7 separate regions of the Mus musculus genome follow, and all the other regions are reported to be linked to region 4. Evidence: microRNA targets listed by miRTarBase, many of them from high-throughput screens and not tested one by one. Region 4 holds a microRNA gene; each other region holds the end of a gene's coding sequence.

Region 1 (4,068 bases), not on the chromosome of region 4:
TTATGAAAGCCTTTGGTAATCCAAGATTTAATGAAACCAGACTATCTTGAGCACAGGTACAAAGCAGGCAGCCCTGACTACTGGCCATGGGAAACCCCGGGGCATCACTGTGGCACAGGTCATGGCCGACTGGAAGGCTGTTGGTCTGTATGAGTCCTCTGAGACGTTCACATCACATGTCTTAAGTGGTCCTGGCAGTGGGATTACCGAAACAGTTCACACACAAAAGAGCCATCCAAACAGAGAACATTTCCTCATGACAATTTGTTTTAATTAAATACAAACAAGGAGAAAAAAATAACAACAACAACAAAAAACAAGGCACCATGGCCCATTCAAGTATTTTGCATAGATGTACAAATATTGTAAACAATCAATAGGAGGACATGAGAGGGGAGGACTACTTCCTGTGAACAATCTCCCAAATCAAAAGAAAATTCACATTTGCCCTGGATCCCAGACATAGACATATACAGTCATACAAGAGGATACTGGGTGCATGACTTTGGGGTGCTAGGCTCGGATTCTACAGAACCTCTCCCTAGCAGGCTTCCCTGGGACGGGGTACCTTTCCAGTTGGTGTTCCCTGGCTTGTGTGTGGAGGATTCCTTCGGGTCTGTTCATTACATGCATTTGACAAAATAACTAGCCTCCAATTTTAAGAATACAAGTCTCACCTCCACTTTGTCAAATAAGGAAGTGAATTGAGCCCAGGGGAGACACTGAAGGATTATTGCAGTGTTGCAGGGGGGCTATTGCAACAGAAGGAACTGTCGCGTTACAGAGAACACTCCGACACTAGCATCTACAGTGTCTTGGAGCAGGGGTAGAGAGGGGGTATTCTCTTCCTGGTGGAAGTCACCAAGGCTAGAAGGAACAGAAAGCAAGCAAGGAGTTGTAACTTGGACGGTATTAGCCCAGGCTATACCTCTTATAGAGATGGAGAGCTGAGGTTTACAGGTCAGGAATGGCTTTGCAGTTCTAAGGTTGGCAGGCAGCTAATCTAGCTCCAAAAAACATTTACAGCCTAGGCTGGAGGATGTAGCTCAGTTGTAGAGTGTTTGGCTATATACATATGAAGGGCTGTGTTTGAACCCAGGGCCACATAAAGCATGGTAGCACACACCCGCAGTCTGTACTCAGGAGTTCAAAGATCATCCTTGGTAAAGTGACTTAAAGGCCAATCTACGATACATGAGATCCTGTCTTCATTTTTGTTTTTCTAGAGGGTTTTTTTTTTCCTCTGTGTGGCCCTGGCAGTCTTGGAACTTCCTTTTTAGACCAGGCTAGCTTCAAACTCGAGATTCACCTGCCTATGCTGGGACTAAAGATGTATACCACTAAACGCAGCTACAAACCTTCCCTCAGCCCACCAGAGCCTTGGCTTTGACCTATTCTAACATCTTCTGACGTCTCTCTTCAGTGGCTGGGAACAGAGGTGCCTTAAACAGTTCTTGTTCTTGCTCACATTGTATGCATAAGAAAAGCGCTTTCATTCAGTCTTGGATGCCCTCACAGACTTGGTGTAGGAAGACCAAAGTGTTCTGTTGCAACTGCCCCTCCTCCTCATGTGGTAATATTCTTTCATCTCCTAAGTGACAATCCTGTGAGACAAACCCTGTCCTTGAAGTCTAGATACACCTGTATGGGACCCTTCACAAAGCAGATGGGAAGGGATTCCTGCCTGTGACAGCCTAGCTGGCCTCTGGAAACAAAGCCTTGAGTGAAGTTGTGTGTAGAGCAGCTGCCGACATTTCTACCAAGTTTAAAAAAACCCCGTCCTCTTACACTTCACAGTATAATGTCATGGGATGGAGGTGGTAGCAAAGTAATGAAAAAGAAAAAAACAGAAGTGATTACCAAAGAGCAAGGAAATGGGTCTTTTTCTGATATGGTTCAAGGGACAGAAAGTGGAGGGTTTCTAACTTTGTGGTGAGAATCGGGGTGGCCTGTAGTCACCGGCCACTTGGTAAAGCACACAAAAGAGAAACTGATATAGGACATGGACTGAGGCCTCAGAGAGTGTGAAGAGCACGGTCACCCTGAAAAGGAGAAAGGTGCTTTCCTGAGATCTTTCTACCCCAGGCCACGTCTGTCATAGCTCCCACATGTCTACAATCCCAAAGCTTACTCTGGGAAGAGATATAAGGAGGCCTCAGGTGGTAAAGGGGAAGTCAAACGCTTGCCTCTTCCTCTGGAGGGTTCCAAGAGCTAACAACTGCTTGCTGTTGGGGCGGGGAGGCCCCTAGAGAGCCCTCTGCAGTGCCATTAGCACCTTTCTGGGGGTGGAAGATGGCCTCTCAGAGGCCAGGCCCAGCAAATGTGTAAGAACTGTTCCAAATAGCGGAGCACCAAGCAAGAGAAGGTCCACCCCATCCCATTCCCACCTTCTCAGCATTTTCCATGACGATCACCTCGGGGCAGCAACCAGGAGAGACCCGATGAGGTGCGTGATAAAACTCTGGTTGAATAGAGTTTGGGGAACCCTGCCCAGATCTGGTTCACCATGGCTGTTGACATCGATCTGTTCAGAGTCACCAGTCCCCCCTCAGAGCTGACCACTAGGGCGGGGCTGGTGGCCCTGTGTATACAATACTATAGCCAGGATGCCAAACATGTCAGCCCCCCTCAGTACAACTGTGGCTGTCCTGGGGAACCTTACTTAGATATGAGTCAGAAATAAGGAGGAGGTCCCTTATTCTGCTTGAGGCCGTAAAACACAAGTACATGCAGAGCTGTCGGCCTGCCTGCATGTCTGTCTCTCTCATTGCCTCTGTCTCTTTCACACACACACACACACACACACACACACACACACACACACACACACACACATACACGCCCACTCGGCTCAACGCTCTTGAGATCCAGTGCAGAAAGTCCAGTGGCGACCCCATATGGCAGGATCCCGATTTGTAGGTCACCAGCATATGGTCATCAGCAAGTCAGGACTGCCATAGTTCACCACCAAAGCACCATAGGATAGGGATGCTGGAAAAGGAGAAGGTGACACATGGAACACTGGGGATGGATGAATGGATGGATGGATGGATGGATGGATGGATGGATGGGGATTCTAAATGTCCTTAGTGACCTTTGGCATAACGGCTCAGAGGGGACACAGGTTGACCACCCCACCCCCCTGCTGTCTATGCTACTTACAAATAGTACCTGTCTGAGTCAGAGTGACCCGTGTAAATATGGGAGTGGGAATGTGAAGAAAGGCAGGGGAGGGGAGCATGGCTTATCACATGCAGCCAGAGAGCCAGGAACAGGCACCTTGACCAAGCCCCTTGGGGTAGGGATGTAGCAGTAGCTTCCTCAGCAGCCTGGGATCCCAGAAGGAGGCCAATCAGTGACACTCGCGTGTGTTCCTGCCAGCATAGGACCAGGATGGGTACCTTCTCCAAGCTCCGCAGAGGAGGACCCCAGCTCAAGCCTTCCCTGAGCATCGCTGGTAGCTCTTGGCTAGTGGGCTGAGGGAGAACCTTTCCCACCCTCCTCGCCGTGCTTCCCTTCCCTCCCTGGGCTGTATATTGCACAGGACAAACACTTAGGAGCCATTGGATATGAGTCCCCCTGGGCCTCGGAGGAAGCAGGAGGCACTCGGGTAAGAAGGGAGATTCTGGGGATGAGGGACGTTCCAGAAGGCTGCCAAAGCTTCAGGATGGGTGAGAAGGCGTCTTTCTTCTGGACCTTCCATGGCATCCGGAGTCTTCCATCGGAACAAGAAACTTCTCGACACTTCTAGATCTTGGAGCTAATTATTGCTCCAACCCTCTGTGATCGGTACTCGGGTAGCTGGAAAGGAAAAAAAAAAAACAAAAACAAAAAACGATGTGACCTCAGTGCTGGTCAGTGGGACTGTGGGCAAGTGTCCTCTTGCTCAGAAGTCTGTCCCCGCGGCTGCATTCCAGGGCCATTGGCCCTTGTAGTGAGAGCAATTGTGTGGCCACCCCCAAAGCTGGAAACTTAGCCCCTCCCCTCTTCCATCAAGTTTCAGTACATCTAGTTCCCTAGTGCTTCAGGGGATACGGGCTGGCAACCAGCTTTCTTGCCTCACCCCTT
Region 2 (4,068 bases), not on the chromosome of region 4:
CAGAAAACAGCCATGTGCTTCTGATCGGAGGCTCAGTGTTGTGTTGTTATTTTGTTATTATACAGTGTTGTGTTGTTATTTTGTTATTACACTGTGATGTGTTGTTATTTTGTTATACTGTGTTGTGTTGTTAATTTGTTATTATACTGTGTTGTGTTGTGTTACATTGTGGCTCCATATTACACTGTGTTGTGCTGTGTTGTGTTTGGATTCTGTGGCTCAGGTTTTAGTCTGTTCACCTTGAGGCATTAGTCTTTTCTTCTAGGAAAACAACTTTGTCTTCAGGGTTGTCCTCAGATTCTCATATTATTCCTTAAATGTTAAAGGCAAAAAAAACCCCAGGTTTTAAAGTTCATTTTTTTTAAAGATATCAAATAGTTATCCCAAAAAGGACTTTAATTGCTTTGTCATTTCTCAGAAAAACAAAAAACAAAAAACAAAAGCTATGGACACATTTGAAACTTAAGATCTTGGTTAGGTAAGAAAAGTATACTCCACATTTAGTGGGATTACCCTGGTACCCAACAACCTTTCAAAAGTGGTAACAGTGCCAGAATCCCACAAAAACCTATCCACGTGGTCCAAGCCTAGCTCCAGGCAAGCATCCTATAAGGTCCAGATTGCAAGCTTTTGTCTCTCTCACTGTACAAGTGTTAGTCAAAAGCCTATTTAACACCACTGTGCTTACCGCCTACAGTGCATGTTGTGTCTAAGTATTTCTAAAGTGCCTATGAATACGCATATACAAATCAGCACTATAATATCAGGATTATAGAGAAATTCTTTCATAGAACAAAGAACAGAATAGGCCTAGAATTGTGGTTAAGCTATACAATTTTTTTATAGTCTCTTGAGCTGATTTCAGACTGCAAGCATAGAGAAATGATTCTGGCTTAGTCATATTTCAGACAGTTACTGGTATGAAGTCTGTTAGGAGGAGAAAACCAAAAACCTCTCGGCTGTGCTTCTTTAGAAAAGGCTGTTTGGAGATCCAAGAATGCAAGGGAACGTGTCCAATTTTATAAAACGGCAAGTGAAGCTTAGTGAATGTAGTTATAAAGTTGGTGCAAATATTTAATGTGATCACCAATTGTTATTAAATCCAAAAATCCCATCACAATGGTGGCAAGTCTGAGTGGCAGTTTCAGGGGTTTAGAAAACAAGACCCTGGACAGAAGTCACAGATGTTATACTAATAAAGGGACCAAGCCCAACACACAGCTAGCCTTCAGAACTTTGGCAATGACCGTGTGTTTTCATGGCTTTGGGGCCCGGGTTCTAGATCCCAGTTAGTTTAGTATTTGTGGCAGTGGCCCTGTAGCAAAAAAGTAGATAGGAAAGGTGCAGGAGTAAGTCCTGCCGTGTGTCTGCCTCTCCACCTCAGGGTCTGAGGATGGTGCCGCTGCTGCCCATCACAGCCACGAGTGCAGGATGAGGGATATGTGGCTCATGTGTTTCCTTTCCATGACAGTGAGGCACTACGACCTTCAGTTGGGCCCACCAGGTGTCACCAGACCATCCCAGGCCAGCAGAATGACCCCACAGCCAAGATATGGTGGCTCCCACCTGCCCTCCCTGTACCTGCTGGTCTTTGGTGAATCCTCACTCCCTGTGTCTGCTGGTCCTTGGTGTGAGTCCTTAAGTATGTGGGGAGAGGGAGGAGTTGCTACATTCTCATCTCACACAGGGCGTTTTAACTAATGCTTTCCAGAGGAAGGCATATATTCTGCCTTCTGAACACTGGGTGTTTGGGGATAGGCAGCCTAAAGAAGGTTCTAGTAGTAAGCACTGGGACTCCATATCCAACTAGGGAAGCAGATTCTTCCTTGCGTACATAGTGAAGAGCCCCCAAATGAGGAGGCCTAGGGAGCATGCTCTCCTTGCCTGCAGTACACACTAATGAGACAGAGGGATGTAGAGAGATGCTGATCACACAGCAAGGCCACAGTGCCTGCTCAGACAGCCAGGATCTGAGGCAGGTCTCCCTGCAGCCCTGGGACTCTTGTTTTATGACAGTATATTTTTAAAAGTCCCAGATTTGTACTATGCCTCACAGATATATTTGGGGAAATGGCAGATAATAAGATCACATGAGAATACACAGTTAATAGCAAATTAGGAACAGAGTTTTGAAGAAAGCTACATAAGAATTACTCACTATTTTGTGTGTGAGAGAGAATCCACACAATGTGTGTGGATTCCAGTGGAGTAAAGTGAAGAAGTGTTACATAAAACATCTTCCTGACTCAGCAGTGAGCTATTTCAACTGTTTTTGCATTTGCATAAAATCCATGCATCATACAAAATTCTAGTCCATTTCTCATCTAAGCCATTCTAATGCTTCATACAACCAAACGAAGCAGGATTGATCAAACCTATTAGATTCATTCCTAATCCCTAAAGGACTTCTGTCTCTTAGCATTTTCATGCTAACTAAAACTAGTGTGTATTTTTTCCTTAAGATGTCAGATGTGTTACCTCCTAACTCTAATACCTACGAAACCTAAATGCTTCTCCCTGAACTGCAAAACAATCAAGGGCAGTGGGCGCTGTAGAATCCACCTGGGGTCAGCTCAGACACGGCAGCCACATTCTCAGCCAGCCCAGGCCAACTCCACTCTCCTTCCCCTGATCCCATTATCCTCCTGGCTCAGCGAGCTGCTTGACTTGTGTCCTGTACTAAAATGTGGCCCCTTCGAGGTGAGAACCAGGACTGAGTCCTCCTGAATCCCAGCTGGACTGGACACAAACCCCAGAGACCCTTTCAGTCACAGATGCTGTGACATGGCCATCACCAGGAGTCAAAAGGGCCTCCAAGGACCTCCTAGAAGTAGCCGAAGCCACTCTTGTCCTGAGCCAATGTGGGTGGCAAACAGAAGAGCAAGGGAGGGAACAGTGGCTGCAACACTGTTTCCAGAAGTGAGCTGCTCCCCCACCCGGAAACCAACAGGACAGAGGTGTCACATGACACGCCAAAGGGAAGCTGAGCCTTCATCACGTAGGACAGGCTACTGGTAAAATATGGTTACTTCCACTCTGGGTAGCTCTTCCATTGGATACGCTGTGGTCACCACTGCTCTCAAAGTTCTCAGTGAAATTAAGGCTGGGTCACAACTCATGACACCAGATGCTACATAGAAAGCAAGATACAAAAGGAAACAATGTCGTTACAAGGTAATATAAGGGGACACTAAGCAGACCACTGGACTGCGACTGTTAGTAATATGCCTTGGAAAAGGCCAAGAGTATTGGAAAAGGACTCGTCCAATCAAAGAACAGAAGAGGCTCAGGGTGGACCTCCGGCCGCAGTTCCCAGCTGCCTACACAGTGGTCTCCATCGTTTCAATCACTTCCAGATCCGACTGCGATGGGGAGAGCAGGGTGCACTCATCGGGTTCCCAGCTGCTCTCAGGGCTGTAATCTTCTTCGGAACTCAGCTCCGCCCCTTCTTCTGTGTCCTCATCACAGGATTCCACATAGTGAGCCCCAATGGCGTTGATCCCCGAGTCCTCGGAACCGGAAGGGGAGGAGCAGTGACCCAGTTTCGGAGTGTCACTCTCTTTAGAAATTAAGGCATCGTGTGCAGAGACCTCCTCAGGGCTCATCTTCTGGGAGTGGGGCGCCTGCTGCTTCTGCACATAGCACATCTTCCCATTAATACATTTAACCTGATAGTTGTCGATGAAGAGATCGGAAATCATACAGTACCTTGGCGAGTCAGGGGGAAGCGGAGGCTGGAAGACAGACGCAAATTTCAAAAAGTGTTCAGTGAGCGAGACGGAGATTTGAATGGTGTTAGTCGGCTCTCGGGGCTTTGCAGGGATCTCTGTGCTTGGGAGCTGCTCCACGGGGGTCATAGGCTGATACACATATTTGCCTGTGGGACACATAAGATACAGCTGAAATATAGGCCCACCATGCAAACTCTATTAGGTAGCTGTGACAGTCTGGCTCTACAGAGCATGTTCTCTAACTATTTTGGTGACATCCAGATCAAACCAGTAACATCCCCGTCACTTGACAGCCCTCACATTCATGTATTAAATTCCTGATTCCCAAGCTGATGCT
Region 3 (4,068 bases), not on the chromosome of region 4:
TTTAAATTAAGGCGCATGAAGGCCAACGCCCGCGAGCGGAACCGCATGCACGGGCTGAACGCGGCGCTGGACAACCTGCGCAAGGTGGTACCTTGCTACTCCAAGACCCAGAAACTGTCTAAAATAGAGACACTGCGCTTGGCCAAGAACTACATCTGGGCTCTGTCAGAGATCCTGCGCTCAGGCAAAAGCCCTGATCTGGTCTCCTTCGTACAGACGCTCTGCAAAGGTTTGTCCCAGCCCACTACCAATTTGGTCGCCGGCTGCCTGCAGCTCAACCCTCGGACTTTCTTGCCTGAGCAGAACCCGGACATGCCCCCGCATCTGCCAACCGCCAGCGCTTCCTTCCCGGTGCATCCCTACTCCTACCAGTCCCCTGGACTGCCCAGCCCGCCCTACGGCACCATGGACAGCTCCCACGTCTTCCACGTCAAGCCGCCGCCACACGCCTACAGCGCAGCTCTGGAGCCCTTCTTTGAAAGCCCCCTAACTGACTGCACCAGCCCTTCCTTTGACGGACCCCTCAGCCCGCCGCTCAGCATCAATGGCAACTTCTCTTTCAAACACGAACCATCCGCCGAGTTTGAAAAAAATTATGCCTTTACCATGCACTACCCTGCAGCGACGCTGGCAGGGCCCCAAAGCCACGGATCAATCTTCTCTTCCGGTGCCGCTGCCCCTCGCTGCGAGATCCCCATAGACAACATTATGTCTTTCGATAGCCATTCGCATCATGAGCGAGTCATGAGTGCCCAGCTTAATGCCATCTTTCACGATTAGAGGCACGTCAGTTTCACTATTCCCGGGAAACGAATCCACTGTGCGTACAGTGACTGTCCTGTTTACAGAAGGCAGCCCTTTTGCTAAGATTGCTGCAAAGTGCAAATACTCAAAGCTTCAAGTGATATATGTATTTATTGTCGTTACTGCCTTTGGAAGAAACAGGGGATCAAAGTTCCTGTTCACCTTATGTATTGTTTTCTATAGCTCTTCTATTTTAAAAATAATAATACAGTAAAGTAAAAAAGAAAATGTGTACCACGAATTTCGTGTAGCTGTATTCAGATCGTATTAATTATCTGATCGGGATAAAAAAAATCACAAGCAATAATTAGGATCTATGCAATTTTTAAACTAGTAATGGGCCAATTAAAATATATATAAATATATATTTTTCAACCAGCATTTTACTACCTGTGACCTTTCCCATGCTGAATTATTTTGTTGTGATTTTGTACAGAATTTTTAATGACTTTTTATAACGTGGATTTCCTATTTTAAAACCATGCAGCTTCATCAATTTTTATACATATCAGAAAAGTAGAATTATATCTAATTTATACAAAATAATTTAACTAATTTAAACCAGCAGAAAAGTGCTTAGAAAGTTATTGCGTTGCCTTAGCACTTCTTTCTTCTCTAATTGTAAAAAAGAAAAGAAAAGAAAAAAAACCAACAAATTGCACAATTTGAGCAATTCATCTCACTTTAAAGTTTTTCCTGCTCGCTCCCTAAAATAGAAACCAGACCCATAACACTCAAGAGGATGAAAACCGAAATGCATTCCTTATCAAAACACATCAATTCATTACTTGCACAAGCTTGTAAATACATATTATAAATAAATGCCAACACACACTCCTTTAAATCAAAAGCTGCTTGACTATCACATACAATTTGCACTCTTTCTTTTTAGTCTTTTACTTCTTTGAATTCCATGATTTTACGGAGTGTTTGAAGATATTGATGTTTCCAGAAAATATAAATGCATGATTTTATACATAGTCAAACAAATGGTGGTTTGTCATCTATTCATGTAATAAATCTGAGCCTAAATTTATTCAGGTTGTTAATGTTGGGTTTTTATACCTGTGTAGTCAGTTAGTACAGTAGTTTAAATAAAATTCAAACCATCGAATTCATAATTAGAACAATAGCTGTTGCATGTAAAATGCAGTCCAGAATAAGTGCTGTTTGAGATGTGATGCTGGTACTACTGGAATTGACATGTACTGTAATCTTGTTTGTAATCCTGTGTATTATGGTGTAATGCACAATTTAGAAAACTCCCATGCAGTTGCAATAAAAATAGTATGGAAAATCAAAACAATTGTTTCATTTCTTTCGAAAGTGGATTTTAAAGAGTAAAATTGTAGCGAGGAGGATCAACGTCTGTATTTGCTGAGTTAAATGTTAAACATTAGGAATAAAATATAGAGTTGAGCTTGTCCTGTGCTTAGTCTGTTATCTTGCTTAGAGGGTCACTGGCTTCTCAGATAACAAACAGACCTCGCCTCTGTTTTATTATTTGGAGTATTGAGCACAGAGTAAGCTGGACAAAAAACTCTGGTTTTCTAAAGGTGAAACGTCTTCACCTTTACTCTCTTTGTTTGTTTGTTTGTCTCTGTTTGTTGAAATGATTGTTAGAAGTTTCTTTTATTTTTCAGGCGGATTTACTTAAGTATTAACTAGCAAGACATAAGCAAATACCTTAGTTTAATTTGTTTATACATATTTAAAGCATAAACAAAATTGAATATTTTCTCACTGTTCTGTTATCTGTATCTTTCCTGAACTAGATAGCTTTCTTTCAAACAGTCCTGCACTCCAAACTATATATCTGATATTGTAGGAAAATTATTTAATTAATTGAAAGGCTCCCAAAAGATGAGGCATTTTATAATGGTTCTATTAAGTGTTTGGGATGTCTTCACTAATTGTTCCACTAAAGTGCTAGTGAGCTTTTGGTACATAAGTATATACTATTTGTGTTCTATTTTAGGAGTGTATATTACTCCACAGTTTTCTGTACAGTCCTGCTATTTTATATTTTGATTTTATAAACACACACACACACACACACACACACACACACACCACACCACACCACACCACACCACACCACACCACACCACACCACACCACACCAACTTAACTTCTGGTAAGTCTACTTAATAAATAGTTTGGCATTTCCCTTCCCATGAGAAATGACTGACAGTCTTGATTTTTATGGAATAGCATTTTGGCAGTTGTATTGTCTCTACTGTGATTCTGATTGCTGTCATTGTTCCTTCTCTGATTCGGATACCACATTGGATGCCTACCTCCCTTGCAAGCATGTTCCTTTAATCTCCTTCTCGTTGGTGGCTTAAGGGTTCCAGAAAACTGACCTTATTTAGTAAGCTGCTCCAGAAAAACGTGAGTAATCTAATAGACAGGAACAATTAGCCATAGTAATAACGTTGCCAACGAGGCCCCATCAAGCTGTGACAGTAGCAGTAAGGGATATTTCAACATTCAAAAAAATTAATGTAATTTAAAATAATGTTTTCTACCAGCCTTTATCACACACAGAAATACATTAAAGCTGGTCCCAACTTTACCCCAAATGTAGTTGTCTCTTTCCAAGTGAATCAGAGCAGTTATTTTGGAATCAAGCTGTTGCTTCCTAGCCTGGATTTTTCTCACCATTGACTTTAGGAGACACAATACTGATAGCAGAATCCTTCAGCCTCCCAGCACAGGAAACCATAAAGTGAACATTCAGATCTGATCTGATCTATTAAGCAGCTCAGTTTCACCTGTAATTAAAATTAGACATCTCCATGCAAACTAAAAACTGTTGCTAGAGTCAACAGAAGAACCAAGGGTGGTGTTTCTAGAATCACAACATTTAAAATGGGAAGCAAAAGAATCTAGACTATGGGTTTCATTAGAGGTAGGCGTGAAGGATGAAGGCTCTGCTTCACTCTTTTTCTTTTTCATTTTGTGTGTGTTTAAAATTTCACTCTAAAGGCGTAGGGATTCTTTCAGTCAGTCAGGGAGTAACTCACATGCCACCATCTTTTATTCAAAGGCAGGCACAGATGTTCCTTCTGCAGGGAAGGTTTTAATTTATGAAAATGATATTGTTTATGCATGAATGAACTGCATGCACCCTGCATAACGCATAGCACTTCCATCTGATCAGAGAAATACCACCAAACCAGCGCCAATGTCAGAAACATATTCTACACATTTACTCACTCAAATGTTTAATGAATATTTGGAATGCATTTTCAAACCATA
Region 4 (4,068 bases):
CGTAACACTGGTGACAGACCCCTCCCTTTATAGGAGGCACATGGATCATGTGGATCGTGCTGACATTAGAGCTTTATCACGTTTTAAAGGAAGTTTTCATTAGTCATCTGAAACAAGTTTTAATCCAAAAATGTTAAGAATGGAGTCAGAAGTGACTATGTTTCTGTTTTAGTAATAATTGTACAATTCTGGTCACTCACAATCAAACCCAGGCCTGTGGAATCCTTACCTGGCAGCTCAGGGATCCATCAGTCAGCTTCTTGCATTTCTTTTAAAAAAAGCAACATATTATGGAAAACTTTAGCTCTGTAGATAGTGTCAGCTTAAACCTGATTTTAGCAGCTCTTCCTTATTAATTTTACTTTTCTTTAGGTTTCACTCCAATGATTTTTATTCATAGCCTGAAACCAACTGTGCTGCCCAAATGTAGAACTATATATTATATATACTGTTATCCTAAATACTAACTGCAGCTTCTCCAGACCCAGCACTCGAGTGTCATGTGTACCTGTCACTCTACTGACCATCAGTTTGCCATCTTTCCCTTGAGGGGGTCACATGGTAAGAACAGTCCAAGGATAGTTCTTTCTTACAGGGTGTGCACATTAACAGAGTGGCCACCACCTGTTAACTGTTAAGAACTCACGGATTAGGAATAATCTTATCAGAAAACACTCCATCTGAATTGTCACACTTTAATAAACAGAGATCCAAAGAAAGTAACATTTTTCTTAACTCATGTTAATGGGTTTTAGAGTAAAATAAACCTGAAGTCATACCAGGTTCAAAAGGCAGTTTAACTTCACCTAAGCCCCCACACACAACTTCTTACTAAATCCAGCGAGCAAACACGAAAATGAAATGATTCAGTAAAAACAAACCACAATTTAAAAACACAAATTTCAATTAAAAAAATCCCGTTTTACACACCAACGAAAGCAATAGAAATCACAGTTTACAGAATGTGTTCATACACTCCATCAGCTCGTGAACATTTTTACAGTGGAAATCGGCATCTTCAGCAATATTGTCATTTTCACATCTTCTGGTCACAATCCCCACCAAACTCAACAGGCCGGGACAAGTGCAATACCATACAGAGAAACACAGCATTGCGACAAATCCCAACCTGTGTAGAAAGGGGTTTGATTTTCCCTTACTTCTCTACAGACTTTTCACCACCACAGTCAGTTTTGCATGGATTTGCACAGCAGAATATTATACAGCTGGATGCAAACCTGCAAAACTAACCATAGACCAGTGCTCAATAACAGGACAGTTGGCTGGGCGATGGCCAGGCGAGGCTGGAGTTCTACAGCTGGCAGTACTTTAAGTGCTCGTAATGCAGTAGATGGCTACACACTACCTGCACTATAAGCACTTTAGTGCTACAGAAGCTGTCACATCACACACACCACGCAGGCTCTACATCGACACAATAAAAATACAAAATTAGTTTAAAAAAAAACAACACTTGAAGTAAATAGCAGGCCACCATCAGTTTTGCATAGATTTGCACAACTACATTCTTCTTGTAGTGCAACTATGCAAAACTAACAGAGGGCTGCAAACACAACTATGGAGAGACCCCTACATGCTTGCTTGACTTGGATTGGATGAGGACATAACTTCTTATGCCAGAAGGAGCACTTAGGGCAGTAGATGCTAGTCTACTTCACTATCTGCACTAGATGCACCTTAGAACAAAAAGCACGCAGCACCAGCAGGCCCTCCCCGCGACCGACTGACCGACGACTGGACGCAGCCAGTGCCGCCCGAGGCAGCGCCCACTGTGGCTCCCACCGAGGCAGCTGTCAGCATAATGCTACAAGTGCCCTCACTGCAGTAGATGCACACATCACTACCTGCACTGTAAGCACTTTGACATTATTCTGACTGGTCACAGCTTCAGTCCCAAGGTGAGGTTCACTTTATTCCTGCTAAATTTGAAATAAATAATTAGACAAAAAGGAAAAAGCCAAAGCTCTAAATTCTGTCACAAACATCAATTACAGCTTATACCCAAGGGGGGGAGGGGAGGAGCCAATAGCCAGAAGTTCCAAATTGGACACATGTAAGCCTTAAAAAAAAAAAAAAAACTCCTTAAAGAAATATAAGATACAATCCCATTAAAATGTTGGCTTTTACAGTAGGCTTCCCCAAAAAACACACAATAAGGGTCCTACAAAATGAGACCTGTTATCAGGAAGGCAGTCTGACTTGGTACTACCTTTAGAGGAAAGCCTCACATTGACCAGGCAGCAATCCCTTTCTTCTGTCCTCCACATTGTCAGATACTCGACAAGATTAATGATTATTGTTTAGTCATTTTCAAGTTTATTAGTCATAAAACATAAAAAAGTCTTAGTATCACCCCAAATTAGAAATACTCTATGACTCCAACTTGAAGGGTCTACAACTATTTGGTTAGTGTCCAAAAGCCACTGTAGATTTACTACGTTAAAATGTGGCTCACTCATTTATGACAAGAGTTCAAACTGTATTTATTTCATACCTTAAAAGACCAAGAATGTTGTACAAGCTCAAAGACAAAAGTGAAAACCAAAGGTCTCAAAAGAAGTTTTAGCTACAAAACTAGAATATACTCACCCACTCAGGCAAACTTCCTTCTCAGCAAGTATCCTTGGGCAATGCTTCGGGTGCTGCTAGGTCCACGTGTATGACTAGGGTTGGGGGTGGGGTGAAGACAGAGAAAGGGTAAGCACATTTGCTCAAAATTACTACCACTTTCCGAGCCCCATTCCAAGTTGCTCTTCTCTTAATCTTCCTAAGGGGCAATTCTATCCATTTGCCAAAAAAAAAAAAAAAAAAAAAAAAAAAGAGAGAGCCAGGACCACAAGGTCCTGAGGGCAACAATGTATTGGGTGGAAAACGCTGTAACAAAATAAAGTTGAAAACCCACCAAGATTCACATCCGTGCACGAATTAATGTGCCCCTGAAATACTGCAAGATGAGTAGCAGCAAGCCTGAACTCTACTGTCCAGCTCAAGCTAGAGAAAAAGGGCAACCAGGACTAGTCTTCACCACCCCTCCCCCAATCAGGACCTCGTGGCTGCACGCCGGGATAAAGAGTTGTTTCCCCAACTGCTGTGATCCTCGTGGCACGTTGCTCATTTTCTTCCCTCTGGTCACCTAAGAACCACGAGCCCTGCTGCGCTCTCCAGTTTTCTCCCCTCCGCGCCAGCTTATCAAGAGAAAACCGGACGGGAACACGGGATCCTGCCAAGTACCCGCCACGCTCATGGAGCCCGGGCCGGCAGCACATGTCGCACAAGGGGGCAGGCGGCCCTTGTGGGTTCCCCGCGCGGCCGCCAGGGGGCGGCAGGTCAGAGCCGGGCCGCGCTGCGCCGGACGCGGAGACTCCCCCCCCCCCCCAACCCCCGCCCGTTTCTGGGCGGCTGCGCGGCGAGCGGCGGCGCGGAGGCCCGAGCGTGGCGAGGCTCCGGACACGCCGGCCGTCCTTTGTGTCCCGCGCGCCCCCCGGCCAGGCTCCGGGGGAGGGAGGGGGGCGGACAGGGCGCTCGCCGCACGCGGCCCGAGGCCTAAGCCGGGAACAATCGGCGGCGGCGCGCAGTCGCCGCCATGTCCCCCCCCCCCCCGCCCTCGGCGCGCGCAGCCCGCCCCGCAGGAACATGGCGGCGGGGCCGCCGCTCCTGCCGAACCCGCCCGGCCCTCCCGCGCCGCGCTCGCAGCCAGCGCCCGTCCGGGGCTCCGCGCCGCCCCGAGGGCGGGCCGGGGCGTCCCGGGCCGCCCGGGCGGACCGCAGGGGTCGCCTCGCCCGCGAGGGGAGCTGCCCACGCGGCCGCACACAAAGCCCACGCGGAGCGCGGGGTGGCGCCCCGGCCCCGTCGCCCCGCAGCTCCCGCGTCCCGGAGCCCGGCCCGGCGCGCACAAAGTTTCGGGGACGCCGAGTGCCGCCCGCCCACGCCGCCCGCGCGCAGGTTCCTCGTGGGCGCGCCCCCTCCCGGCCCGCGGCCTGCCCCATGTGCCGCCGCCGCTTTGTTCTGGAGGCGCTTTAACTCTCGCCCCCGGGAGAAACTTTCCCC
Region 5 (4,068 bases), not on the chromosome of region 4:
AAAAATGAAAGAAGAGCCTCTGATAAAAATCTTAGGACAAAGTATATGTATCTAATTAACTTTATTTTGGAACACTGTACAAACTTCAGTTTAAAAAAAAAAAACAAAACCATGTAGTGGTCATTCAGTTACATACTGAGAAATGGAAGACAGACCACAGGCCAGCTGTCATTTTGAGCTATACTTTAATTACAGGTTTCTAAATATACTAACTTGCTAATCAGTTGCTTATTTTTTTCCCCCTTCATTTTTCTGAGACAGACAAAATACATGTCTATTGCTTTTTTCCTTTTTCTCTCTATGACCTTGGACTTTAACATTAATGGAAAACCTAAAAACCAGAGAAAGCCCACAAAAAAGAAGCCATTTCAAGTTAGAGACAATGCATTTCTCATTTATTCAAATTCACTGCAGGAAGTAAACACTAAAAGATTTAAAAAAAAATTCACACTGCGGTATGTACAATTCATTACATCACATAAAGAAATCAAATTTAATAATAAAAATGGCAAATTAATATCACTAAGCAGGCTGCATCAAAACTGGCTGTAAACCCAAGATTCTTACCATGAACGGTAATGTGCCTATATTCCAGCATTTAGGAACACTGGACTATTCCTGGTTATGTTTCCAATGGGATTTGAAGAGTTGTGAAGTTGCTCTGTGAGTTCTTTAATGTTGAAAGTGGTTGATTAAAAAGAAAAAAAAATTAAGACCCTTGAATTCGAAGCACATTTTCTCACAAAGCATAAGCCACAGAGGTCATGTCCGGAAATGGAATACTGTCGTGTTGGATGACCATCTGCCCTGACTTAAGACGGTTTCTGTCGAATGCACAGATGCACAGGGTCCCCCATGCACTTGTCGTCATGCAGCAGGTACGCAGACTTAAATAAAAGGTTTATTTTATACATTTGTCCAGACTTGCAACTGTATACATACATGCACATTTTTTTAAACCTGTCTGATTATATTTACACTTAATACATGGAATATACAGGAACCAAAGAAATTAAAAGGTTTTTCTGTTGCATTAGAACAATACAAAATATGTATTTTTTCATTAAGGAAATCATTATTTACATTACCTTTAAAAACCAATTTTAACATCTTCATGTAACAAGTCAATATATATATATACACATTTATATATATATATATGTATATATATAGAAAATATATACTCTCACCAGTTTATTCTTCTGTAAGATGTAGCAGAGAATAAACAGGTAATGCTACCTTACTGATGTCAATGAGAGCTGTAGTACCCATTCACAAATGACTTTATTAGGAAGAAACTGCCCAGATATCGAAAATAGTCCTCGAAAATGTGTATGTGCATATTTGAATCTACATATGCAAAGTGAATTTGTGGATGTATTATGCCCTTTCTCTTCTTTAAGATTTCTCTAAACAAAACATGGGGGGGGGGTTATTCTCTAGAAAGTCAGAACAGCATCCTTCATAGGCATGTTTATTTTTGTCTTACATATTCTCATTCCAACAAAAACAAAACAAAACAAAGCGAAGCGATGCTGGCTCTGGACGTTTCCCTGACCTAAGTGCTGTTCCATTGTAAGAAGACTACTGCGCCGTGAACAGAGGACGAACTCCAGCATCCTACAATATATTTCTAAGGCTCCAGCCCTTTCACCATGACCAAGAAAAATGACTAAGTGTAAAGCTTATTTATATAGTGTAGACAATGAGATTGTCACAGTATAAACATGGAGTAAAGTACCTCACTGGCCAGTGGAATTTTTCATAGCAGAATAAGCATACACGTTCTCCTTTCTCTGATGTTGCATAACATACACTCTGGTTACCATATAACATACCCATTAACTATTTACAAATCATCTTGAGAAAAAATAACCATTTAGAATTTTAGGTAATTAAGAAATAATGTCCATTTGTAATATATATAAAAAAAATCTTAGAAACAACTTCAAGTATGTATAACAATTCCAAATAAACTTCTTCCTACTTAACTGCTGAGTACACAGTAAGTTTTTGATAAGTCAGTTGTTAACCTGGCTCAAAACTGAAAAACAAAAAATATTGCCTGGAGGAGGAACTGTGGGCTATAAACAAATGAACTTAAAAACCAACCTGTTTCAAGACTGAAATTCCACGTGGCTCAATTATATATTAAGTTCTTTCAAGACAATGTCAGTATTTACTTTTAATGCCTGTTTAAAATGAATTGATCCGTGAAGTGACTGTGCAGGTCCTGTCATGGATTGATAAGTGCCCTTTGATTTGGTTTCAGGTAATCTGAGTTTGATGTCTTTCTTGGGTTGAATCTGTTAACTCCATAAACACTGCTGTGCAGAGGACAGTTTGACTAGCAGGTAAGGATGTATTCAAGAAGTTTCCCAACCGTCCTGGGATCACCTGAGTTTGCTAAGTGGCCCTGTTATTCCACCCCTAAGGCTAATTAAGTTAATCTTACTAATTAGAGCAAATAAATAATCACAGATTTTCCTGAGATGTTGACCCAGATAGGAAAGTTGTCCCCTCTACCCAATTTTTTTTTTTTGTCATAAAAAGTATTCCGAACCCGATTTCCAAAGATATAATAGTAAGATTGGAACTATGATATTGCAAATTTTGAGTGGATATGTGACTGTATTGGGGGAAAAGTATAGGCATCAGATAGTTACTTTAAAGTCTCATGTTCTGGAAAAGTCCTAAGCCACAGTTTTCAAACATCAGTGTGCGGAAGAAGCACATACAGAACATGTCAGGATACAGGCGGAAGGAGGACGCCCGGGTCCACTTGGAGACGGTGTTCTGTAGACCTGAGATGCTGCCTAGGAGTCTGCATTTAAATAACTGTTCCAGAGACTCATGTGATAGTCAGATGAATGCAGTGTCTCTGTCCAGAATTAAGAAATCCTGGTTGTAAAGTCACGGGTCCCACAGGAGTGGTGAGGATCAACTTTCAAAAGAGACGGTAAAAACCATCCAAAGAAAACCCATTTCTGCTTTTGTTAAAAACGATTTCTAAGTAGTCAATTGTCCAGGAAACAGCCTGAAGGTGAGTGAAGATTTCCTTCTCTAATTTTGAAAAAGGAGGAGTATTAATTTAGTAAAGTAGTCAAAATATAAAAAAATGGAAATCTGCCTTTTATTTTTAAGGATCTATTAAACTCCCCTCTATTGTAATCAATTGTTACTAAATAGTAAAAGGTTTAAAGAAATATATATATTGAAAAGGTCTGGGGTGGGGCAGACTCATTGGGAACCGCAAAACCCCTTCCAAGAGTTAAAAAGAATTTTGTTTAGCAAAAGTGAAAAAATGTAAGCATTGCTTTTTCTTACTTTTAGACTGATGAGGTGTGAATCAGCACAAGGCTTCTGGGTTTTTTTTTTTTTCCTAATTTGGTTATCTTCCAAATAGCTAACAGTTTGGATGTTACAAACACGTTATGTAGGCTGGCTTCTGAGATGGGAAATGAACAACCCTAATAAAGACAGCAAGTTGCATCAATCCACTACTGGTGAAGTTGTGCATTTTAATGTATGCCTCTTATTTACGATTATAAAAACAGGTTCATTCGTAGGCTAGTCACAGTTGTTATCTGATGCATACAGAAATAGTAAACAACCAACCTCGAGTTCAATTGTTTCCTCATGACATCTAATGTTAAGCAAAAATTAGTATGCATATTTAAACATCACCAGTGACCAATACTTTCAAAAGGAAGGAGTTTCAGTTATACCATGCTTTTCTCAAATCATGCTCTTATTTATACAGATCTCAAGTTCATACTGACTAAATTTTAAAAAGACCCAAAGTGGTATGGCAGGTACACATTTATTCTGACTCTTTTTTTATGGTGAGCGCGTTTCCCAGAAGTCCATACACTTCTCCATTTGTACTGTGTGGGCGAGAAGCATTATTTCCCATATGGCTATTGTACGGGCTTCTTAGATTAAAGAAAGAAGCTTTAGTTTCTGCAGCGGGAAGTAGCTCTTCTTTGACTGTAACCTGTGAGAGACTCTCGGCTGACGCAGGCTCCCTCCAGATGTCTTTGTCCTGGGTTTCTTGTGTGGTAACAG
Region 6 (4,068 bases), not on the chromosome of region 4:
AGGAATATCTAGGCCCTTTTTCCCTCATCATTTAGGGCTTATCCCCATAAAAAGGGCCACCACAGTCTCATTTTCAGCTCCAAAATGTAAATGCGTATTTCCTTCTTCACAGCCCTATTGAGATATGTAATTCATACATGTTACCTGAATCTGAATTGTGTTTTCTCTCCTGTCTGCAGGGAATCTGAAGCATGTGGTCTAGTTGACAAAAAGAGATCAGGTTCCCAGAGCTGGGCAGCAGTGCCTATAATGAAGACAGTGTGTTGATGCAAGCGGTTTGTGGAATTTGTGACTGCAGGGGAAATTTGGAAGAAATTACTTCCTGAAAATTTCCAAGGGGCACCAAGTGGCAGCTGGCCTCCTGGGGTGAGGAGCCAGGCACCCCGGAGCCAGGCCTAAGGGGAAGAAGAAGATAGCCAGTGTTTAAAGTGTTTATTTTAAAACACAAATGCAGTTTTTAATGGTTCAAAATTATTTTTAAGCAAGTTGGGGGGAAGAATTTTATCTTCATAAAGGGGACAAGTCAGGAGCTGCAGAAGAGTGGGGTTGGGTAGGGGGGTCAGCAGATGGGCAGGTTCGGCCCTCGGGGCCATTTAGATAGAGACCTGTGGGGGAGGGGTATCAGCAGACTGGGAGGTAAGGAGGAGTCTACCACTTTTGTTTTAGTATGATGCACTCCAGTTGTTCTTAATAAAAGTTTTGAAAATGTAGCTCGTCCCACCGCTCTGTTACTGCTACCGACAGCACACACAGTTCTGAACATTTCCTGCCACCAAAGGTCAAAAATGGCCCTCTTGTTCCCATACTCTGCCCTGGCCAGCCTGGGACTCTCACCTTAAATTTTGGACCCTCCTGGGGAACTAGTGTATCCCCAGACCAGATGACAAGCTCTGTCCTGCGCTGGAGTCTGACCATGAAAAAGAAGGTGCGGAGTTATAGGCTCTGCATCCATGAAAAGGGGCCTGCTACATTCTGAGGAGCCGTTTGCTCTGTCAAGGACTCATGGGTCGGAAGGCATTTCCCTCAAAGGGCATTTCCATGGGTAAACAGGACACTTGCAGCTCAAGTGTAGACAGTTGATTCACATGACAGTTGGCTGGTGTGATGGGGAAAGATGGCAAACTATGGGGGAAGACGACCATTTGGTGGGATTTTTATAACATGATTGACCAAATGTTTATTAAGTTCTTTCAACCACTGTGACAAGTCTAAGAGACACAAGCGCAGCCCAGTCCTGGCCTGGGGCAAGGGGAAAAAGAAAAGCAAATATATGCACAAAGCTGGGAATCTCTGAATTGCAAGCTTTGCCCAACAGGCCCTCAGCAGCATCTGGAGGGATGGCTAACCTGAAGTTCCCCCCAGGCAAGCAAGAGCATTCCACAGAAGGGAGTGAGAAAGCCTTGAGTCTGTCCTGAGCTGGGAATAGCCATGCTTTTATTAAACAGTGAGAGTGTCTGGTGGACTAGAAGTACCAGTCGCTTCAAATGTCCACTATTCTAATTATACACTCTAGGCTTAAGGCACTTTGGCTTGTGCTGAAAAGAAGGGGGATTTCAAAGAATTGGAAAGTGGGGAATGGCTGGCTGAATGGGCAGGTGCCAAGGTTTGCCCTCTCAAAGGTTTGCTTATCCCACTTGAGTTTCCCAATACAGTCCTTTCCAGCTACCCCCAGGGTCCCTATGAAGGCCTCAGTCATGAGAGGCAGCCACCTGGTAGGAACAATGGCTAGCTAGTGCCCTGTGGCCCTTTTAGGTGGGAATTGCCCTGGTCAAGGATATCCCCCCTATGTGGAGAGAGTAGTATAAGGTGCAGGGGATACCCACAAAAGGTTGCCTTTTGCCATGGGACCCATTCTCCTGGTCAAGAAGGCACTGCCTGAGAACCACCTCTGCCTTAGTTCTAGCCCAACAGGATCCATAAAAGTTACTGAGTTGATGACCTTGGGCCAAGCGTCAGAGGGTACCAGTGCAGGGGCCTCCAGACTGTCATTCATTGCATTCCTATAGGCTATGCTGGCCTGGAGTGCAGTTAGTGCTCAGCCTACACACAGCCCTGGAGTCTGTCCCTTAGCACTTCAAAAATAGAGGAGGAGAGACAAGAGAGGATAAGGGAGAGGGAAGAAGAGAAAGAAAAGCTAGGCAACGGTGGGCTAAAAAAAAAAAAAAAAAAGCAACAGGTAAAGGGCAAGGATAACGTCTTAAAAATTTACCGAGCAAAATTGAAATACCCAGAGCCAGCATCTACAAGCCCAACACAGCAAGTTAAGAACAGCTCTGTCCTGAGTTATAAAGGCAGTAACAGCCACAAGGAAATGCACCAAAAAGAAACTGAGATGGTGAGATGGACTTCAGTGGACCAGGAAATCATAAGATGCTTTGGTTTGCTTTTGGAGCTTTTTTTTTTTTTCTCCAGATTTCCTCAGTGAATCGAATTTTATTTTCACAATGGAAAAATAGGCTGGGGTTGGGGTATATGGCTCAGTGTGCAATGCCTGCCTGCCTGCCTGCCTGCCTGCCTGCCTGCCTGCCTGCCTATATCCATGAGGCCCTAGGCTCTACTCATAGTCCCACAAATAAAGTAGTAAGCTCAAAATGAGTTTGCTTGGTTGAACACTTATTAAACTCAGTCACCAAAAACAAAAAAAAAAAAAAAGAAAAAGAAAGTAAGAAAGACGTGGTTGGGAGACGGGGTTCAGCTGGAGGAGATGGGGAGTAAATGTATAATGGGGTGACTGTGACCAAAATGCATTGTGTCTGTGTGTGAAATTGTCAGATTAAATTCTGGAGACTGGAAATGGTTCTTATCTGTCCTCTGTGATAAGAATCTGAGTCAGTTGGAGCCTCCCACTGTGCAGGCCTGTGCTCAGCCTCAGGGCTGTTCTTACTGCCCAGGAGGCTCTGAGAAGAGCCCCAGGAGAAATGGGCTCCAGGGCAAGGGAAGCGGATACTGATGTGAGCTTACCTTCCCTTCAGTCAAAGGCGACTGTCTACCTACCCACTGTCGTACTAAGTTCAAGCCCAGTGACTCTGATGACAACCATGAGGCAAAAATCAGAATGCACCCCTTTTTATAAGGCATTTCTACTTAAAGTGTGCCATTATCTTTCCTGCTGGATAGGTATTATTATACCCACTTTAGAGATGAGTAAACTGAGTCTACAAACTGAAGTAACTCACCCAGGAGTGGGTAGAAGAGAACAACCCTAGCTAGAACTGCAAGCTCCCTTACTTTTTCCATAGCCCCACACTAGTGCCACTAGAATATTCTTTCTTTTTAATTTACTCATTAATTTTTTTTTTACAGTCCAGACTTTATCCTCCTCCCGGTCCACCCTCTGACTGTTCCACATCCCACACCTCCCCACCCCCAGTCCTGGTCTCCAAGAGGATGTCCCCATCCCACCCCCACCCCCCACCCTACCAGACCTCCACACTTCCTGGGAGCCTCAAGTATCTCCAGGGTTAGGTGTATCATTTCTGATGAGTCCAGACCAGACAGTCCTCTACTGCATGTGTTGGGGCCCTCATATCAGCTGGTGTATGCTGCCTGGTTGGTGGCTCATTGTTTGAGAGATCCTCGGGTCCAGGTTAGAATGTCCTTTAAACTGTGTGACTTTGGAGTAAAAGATTTTCTTCTTCCTTACAAAGTCCAAGCTGAATCAAGCCACACACTACTCCTAGGCCCTCACCCTACAATAAACAGACAAATTAGCCATGTGCTTTTTCAGCAAGATGCTTGGCCTTGCTGCGTGCATTTCCTCCCATGGAAAGTGAGGCAAATGCTTTCTATACTTCATGGGCTCTTGCGAGGGGCTACTGACTTATCAAAAATGGGGGCATCTGAAAAGAGCCCTAAAAACTGTGTGGTGGTGCATACCTATAATCGTAGCACTCGAGAGGTAGAAGCAGGGGTTCAAGGCCAGCCTGGGCTACATGACAACCTGTCTCCAAGAAAAAAGCCTAAATATTGTGCATATAAGAGTATGCACCAGGACCAGAGAGACTATAGGAAAACTTTAGGCTGTGTCTATAACTTGAGAGTTAAGAAAAATAGCCATCTTAAAAAGAA
Region 7 (4,068 bases), not on the chromosome of region 4:
GGTCCTCAAAAGACTGAAGATGCCTACACCATCAGCTCTGCAGGGAAACCTACACCAAGCACTCAAGGAAAGATAAAACTAGTAAAAGAAACCTCTGTGTCAAGACAATCAAAAGATAGCAATCCTTATGCCACTTTACCTCGTGCAAGCAGTGTGATCTCTACTGCTGAAGGAACAACTCGAAGGACGAGCATCCATGATTTTTTGAGCAAAGACAGTAGACTGCCCGTGTCAGTCGATTCATCACCACCTACTGCTGGTAGCAGCAGCACTACAGCATCTAGTGAGTACCATTTACAGCAGTGGTCCTCTGACATGCCAACACATTCTGAAGACACATCTGAGTCCGTTTATACCCAGGCTAGAAATTCAAGTTCAGGAAGGCCATGTTTTCTAAACCAAACTTTTGCCACTGTTAAAATGTCTAATGATACATTTGGAATATCAGGTAATGATAGCCATGAGACATTTAGTGTTGTTCATTCATCTCAGCCATTTCTATCCCTGAACACAGAACTAGTTAGTAACATAAGTGGGTTACCTCCCAAGTCACCACTCACTAGAATAACTGGCCAGACCTTTGCCTCTTTGGATAAAACTGCACAGAAAGATAACAAACATTTTTCTGATAGTCAGAACCCCAGTCACAGTAAGACACAGTTCTCTGAAGATAGCGATCTTATCATTCCTGCATGCCTCTACCCTGATGACACAGACGTTGCATTATCGGTTTCAGAGGACAGCCAAATTGTTTGGTATGAATATGGTTGTATTTGATCAAAACTGCATAGTATGTTAATATTACTCATTAGGCTTATATTAAGATTGTTACAGAGTTCAGCTATATAAAAAGGCATGTATATAAACACCACACCAAAGTCTGCATGAAATAGTAATTGCATTGTGCATTTTTGCATGCCTTTTAAACCCCACCCACATTTCTTTTACATCTTTTTAATGCTTGATAAAGATGATAAAGACACTTCATGTCATGGATCATGTCCAAGTAGCTGCATGTTCTGTTATCAAGAAAACATATCCAAGTCATTGTTTGGCTGCTTCTAAAAAGCATGTTCATCGCTCTTCCTGCTGCCTGCTCCCCAGCCCTCTCCTTTGCTTCCTGAATGTGCACTTCATGCTGCACATGCACAGCATTCATAAGAAAATGTTTTTGAAATGGTATTTTTTTGTCACTTAATCATGTTATCTTTCCTGTTCTCTTTTCAAAGAAATAGTTAATAGTTCATCTTTATTTGAACTAATGCTTGCACTTATAAAACATTGTTCAAATTTAAAATACTGTTTATTCATAAATGTGTTATTCCTGGAGTTTTCTATCAAATTTAAATGTAACTTACACAGTGAGTAGGCATGTTTGTATTACAGTTCCCTTCTTGGTGCTGTTCCTTTCCCGATAAATGCAATAGCTTAACTACTTCCCCTTTATTTTTTTGGTATCCTTAACACAAATTTTTCCAGTTTTTTTTTTAAACATATGAGTCAAAGAGAAATAAACCAAGTTACTTATTACCTTGGGAATTTGTATTTTTACTTCAATTCAGAAGAATAGCAAGGTTTTTAAATGATGAAAAAAATTAACTTCTGTCATTAATTTATTACTAAATGTAAATCCTTAATGCAAACTTTTTAAAAATTAATACATTGCGCTAGAGTATAAAATTAGAACTTGTGAGCATAAAAATGAAAAATACACTATGTAGTCTTTATTCTAAAATCTGTTGTATTAAAAACATAGTCTTGCCTGGTGTATGCCTTTAACCCTGGCAGTTTGGGAGGCAGAGGTGAGTGGTTCTCTGAGTTCCAGGCCAGCCAGCGCTGTGAACTGGGACCCCGTCTCAAAAAGTTCAAACAAAAAGAAAACAAAACAAGCAAAAATAGAAAAATAGTCTTTAGCTCCCCACGCTCTCAAACAGTACACACACACAAACGCACACACACACACACACACACACACACACACGACAAAGATACTATCCATAAACATGGACTCCAATGTCATATAGTTTTCAATTATCTTTCTGTGTTCATGTCAATCTACACCAAATCAGCTTTAATTCCTCAGCATTAAAAAAATCTATAATCTTATTTCTGCAGGATATTTAGCTGTTTCAGGAATGTTTTAATAATTTTGATTCAGCCTAAATATTACTGATAAAACTCCGCCTTAGGTAGGTGCCATAAGAAGCTCTATGAGTGAAGGGATTAGTGCTTGTGTACTTAACCTCGCTGAGCTGTCATTAATACCAGACAAAAGGGAAAATCTTCAGTCTTTGCCTGACTAAAAATCTCTCCCCTGGTACATTCCCAGGATCACCTTACAGATAGATCCCTTTTGTTTATATTGCTGACCATATGTTTCTTTCCTTACAGCTATTCTTAAAATAGTTCTGAGACAAGTGATCAGATGAACCCAAGCGGTATTTTACATATTTTAGTACCACCTAATAGGCTTACTGCATGAATATATCATTACCTTATACTATGAATTTTTTGTCTAGTCAGTCTTAATACTTCAGACATTTTTGTGCTGTTTTCCCTTTTGTTCATAGCCTACTAATAAATGGTAAGCTGAGACTGATGCAGCACAAAGACAGAAATGCTTTACTTAGCTTTGGACATCATGAAACAAACCTTATACTTTCTACACTTAAAAAATGTTGCTAATTTTGTTAATTTAAAGTATATTTTAAATTATGTGTTTTATAAAAGCTATATTGTCTTATTTTATGAAAACAGACTTACAGAAGTATTCTGTCTCTAATGTCTAAAGGATACATTGCATGTAAGAGAGGTAAATACTATGTCCATATTTCCTGTGGGCTAAGATTGTAGTGTAGAATTCTTCCAAATACAGCACATACTATGGAGTCAAAGTTTCCTCAAACACCACTAATACTATGTTGCTTATGACTTTAAAATATAAAAAAATAGGTTCCATGTAAAACGTCTGTCAGATTAATTTTCCACGTTTCAAATTCCTTTGTTCAACTCAGCTTTAAGAGCTTTTTAGTTTATCTTCATGAATTTTGTTACTAAACTTTTGAGTAAATAACATGAACTACTTTTCTCCCACAGATGTGAACAAAGTACAAGAGAGCAGAAATTCAAAAAGCAGGTCTAGGGAGCAACAAAGCTCCTAATTCAGTGACCCACTGCATGACATGTGGGCCTGGGGTGAGTTTGCTGCTTGAACCCTAAGTGAGACGAGTCTCATCTGTACAGACTAACAGAATTAAGTATAACGAGTGCACATGGCACTAACAGTTACATTTCGCTTGCTGGACTCACTGACTTTCCTTCCTGCTTAATTAGTAAAGAGTAGTTGACTACCATAGGTTTTTGCCTGTCTAATTGGGTAGCAAGCCTTTAAAAAGTATTTTCTCTCAATTGAAATGTAATTTTAGCAGTGAGTAATCTAAAATATTTCATGCGGTTACAACCTCTAAGTAACTGGTAAGAATGCACTAAATACCTGTCTTACAAAGAACAGCTCAGACGTTCCCTCTGGCTTTCTGTCACTCTCATTTCCATATAAACACCTGTGCATGTTGTTCTTGCCGTAGCTTCCCTGTAGTTTATATTCCTCTTATCTTCAAGCTATTCTTACATTTTCTTTCTTCTTTTCTGTCTTTCAACAAAATACAGAGAGAAAAGTGTCCTTCAGTTTCTCAGTGTGAAGACTTTATTTCTGAAGTAACAAGACACCTAGCAACTATAGGAACTATTAAAAACAGTAAGGAGATTTTAACACATCCCTTCGTGATTAGAGCAGGGAAGAGATATAAACTTCATTCTTCCTTGAATCAAGGAGCACTACTGGATTCAGCTGCCAAAAGTTTTAGAAGGTTTTAGGACACTGTACAGTGCACTAAGCTCTACTGAATAAAGGACATTCTCTCACTAAGGACCGAGTGTTTAAGGTCAAGTATTCTAAGGAACAGCCTACTTCTTTCAACATTTGTTTATTAATTTATCCATTTTTGCTTACTGCTTCTAAGTATTATCCAAAAACTAGTCATTTATATTTAGTTGTACAAATCTAAATTA

What was found. Region 4 holds the annotated microRNA mmu-miR-17-5p (CAAAGUGCUUACAGUGCAGGUAG, at 1,862-1,884, opposite strand). A microRNA usually pairs through its seed, bases 2 to 8, with sites in the 3' UTR of a target mRNA and lowers its output. Matches are read on the target gene's strand: a 7mer-m8 pairs with bases 2 to 8, a 7mer-A1 pairs with bases 2 to 7 and ends in A, and an 8mer does both.
Region 1: miRTarBase lists Adam19 as a target of mmu-miR-17-5p. Seed matches in the 3' UTR shown: 7mer-A1 at 1,165-1,171.
Region 2: miRTarBase lists 2510009E07Rik as a target of mmu-miR-17-5p. Seed matches in the 3' UTR shown: 7mer-A1 at 2,210-2,216 and 8mer at 721-728.
Region 3: miRTarBase lists Neurod1 as a target of mmu-miR-17-5p. Seed matches in the 3' UTR shown: 7mer-A1 at 1,485-1,491.
Region 5: the mRNA of Nrip1 is a reported target of mmu-miR-17-5p. The part of its 3' UTR that is shown has no 7-base or 8-base seed match.
Region 6: miRTarBase lists Hdac8 as a target of mmu-miR-17-5p. The part of its 3' UTR that is shown has no 7-base or 8-base seed match.
Region 7: miRTarBase lists Ccdc88a as a target of mmu-miR-17-5p. The part of its 3' UTR that is shown has no 7-base or 8-base seed match.

Annotation. Positions count from the first base shown.
Region 1 is chr11:46,143,525-46,147,592 of GRCm38, reverse strand. It overlaps Adam19 (a disintegrin and metallopeptidase domain 19 (meltrin beta)), which reads right to left. Exons shown (of 23, transcript NM_009616.4): 23 at 246-3,801. The coding sequence ends at 3,748. Among named protein-coding and RNA genes, the nearest start is that of Gm35624, 20 kb to the left of the region's middle.
Region 2 is chr16:21,649,882-21,653,949 of GRCm38, forward strand. 2510009E07Rik (RIKEN cDNA 2510009E07 gene) reads right to left here. Exons shown (of 2, transcript NM_001001881.2): 2 at 1-3,877. The coding sequence ends at 3,321. Among named protein-coding and RNA genes, the nearest start is that of 2510009E07Rik, 43 kb to the right of the region's middle.
Region 3 is chr2:79,450,676-79,454,743 of GRCm38, reverse strand. Neurod1 (neurogenic differentiation 1) reads left to right here. Exons shown (of 2, transcript NM_010894.3): 2 at 1-2,107. The coding sequence ends at 780. Among named protein-coding and RNA genes, the nearest start is that of Neurod1, 3.9 kb to the left of the region's middle.
Region 4 is chr14:115,041,500-115,045,567 of GRCm38, reverse strand. It overlaps Mir17 (microRNA 17), which reads right to left and starts at 1,897; the gene lies at 1,814-1,897. It overlaps Mir18 (microRNA 18), which reads right to left and starts at 1,717; the gene lies at 1,622-1,717. Mir19a (microRNA 19a) reads right to left here and starts at 1,568; the gene lies at 1,487-1,568. It overlaps Mir20a (microRNA 20a), which reads right to left and starts at 1,411; the gene lies at 1,305-1,411. It also overlaps Mir19b-1, Mir17hg and Mir92-1.
Region 5 is chr16:76,287,359-76,291,426 of GRCm38, forward strand. Nrip1 (nuclear receptor interacting protein 1) reads right to left here. Exons shown (of 4, transcript NM_173440.3): 4 at 45-4,068. The coding sequence ends at 3,824. Among named protein-coding and RNA genes, the nearest start is that of Gm30569, 11 kb to the right of the region's middle.
Region 6 is chrX:102,281,280-102,285,347 of GRCm38, reverse strand. It overlaps Hdac8 (histone deacetylase 8), which reads left to right. Exons shown (of 11, transcript NM_027382.4): 11 at 180-710. The coding sequence ends at 202. Among named protein-coding and RNA genes, the nearest start is that of Gm32262, 13 kb to the left of the region's middle.
Region 7 is chr11:29,504,029-29,508,096 of GRCm38, forward strand. It overlaps Ccdc88a (coiled coil domain containing 88A), which reads left to right. Exons shown (of 31, transcript NM_001363368.1): 31 at 1-2,106. The coding sequence ends at 777. Among named protein-coding and RNA genes, the nearest start is that of Prorsd1, 9.0 kb to the right of the region's middle.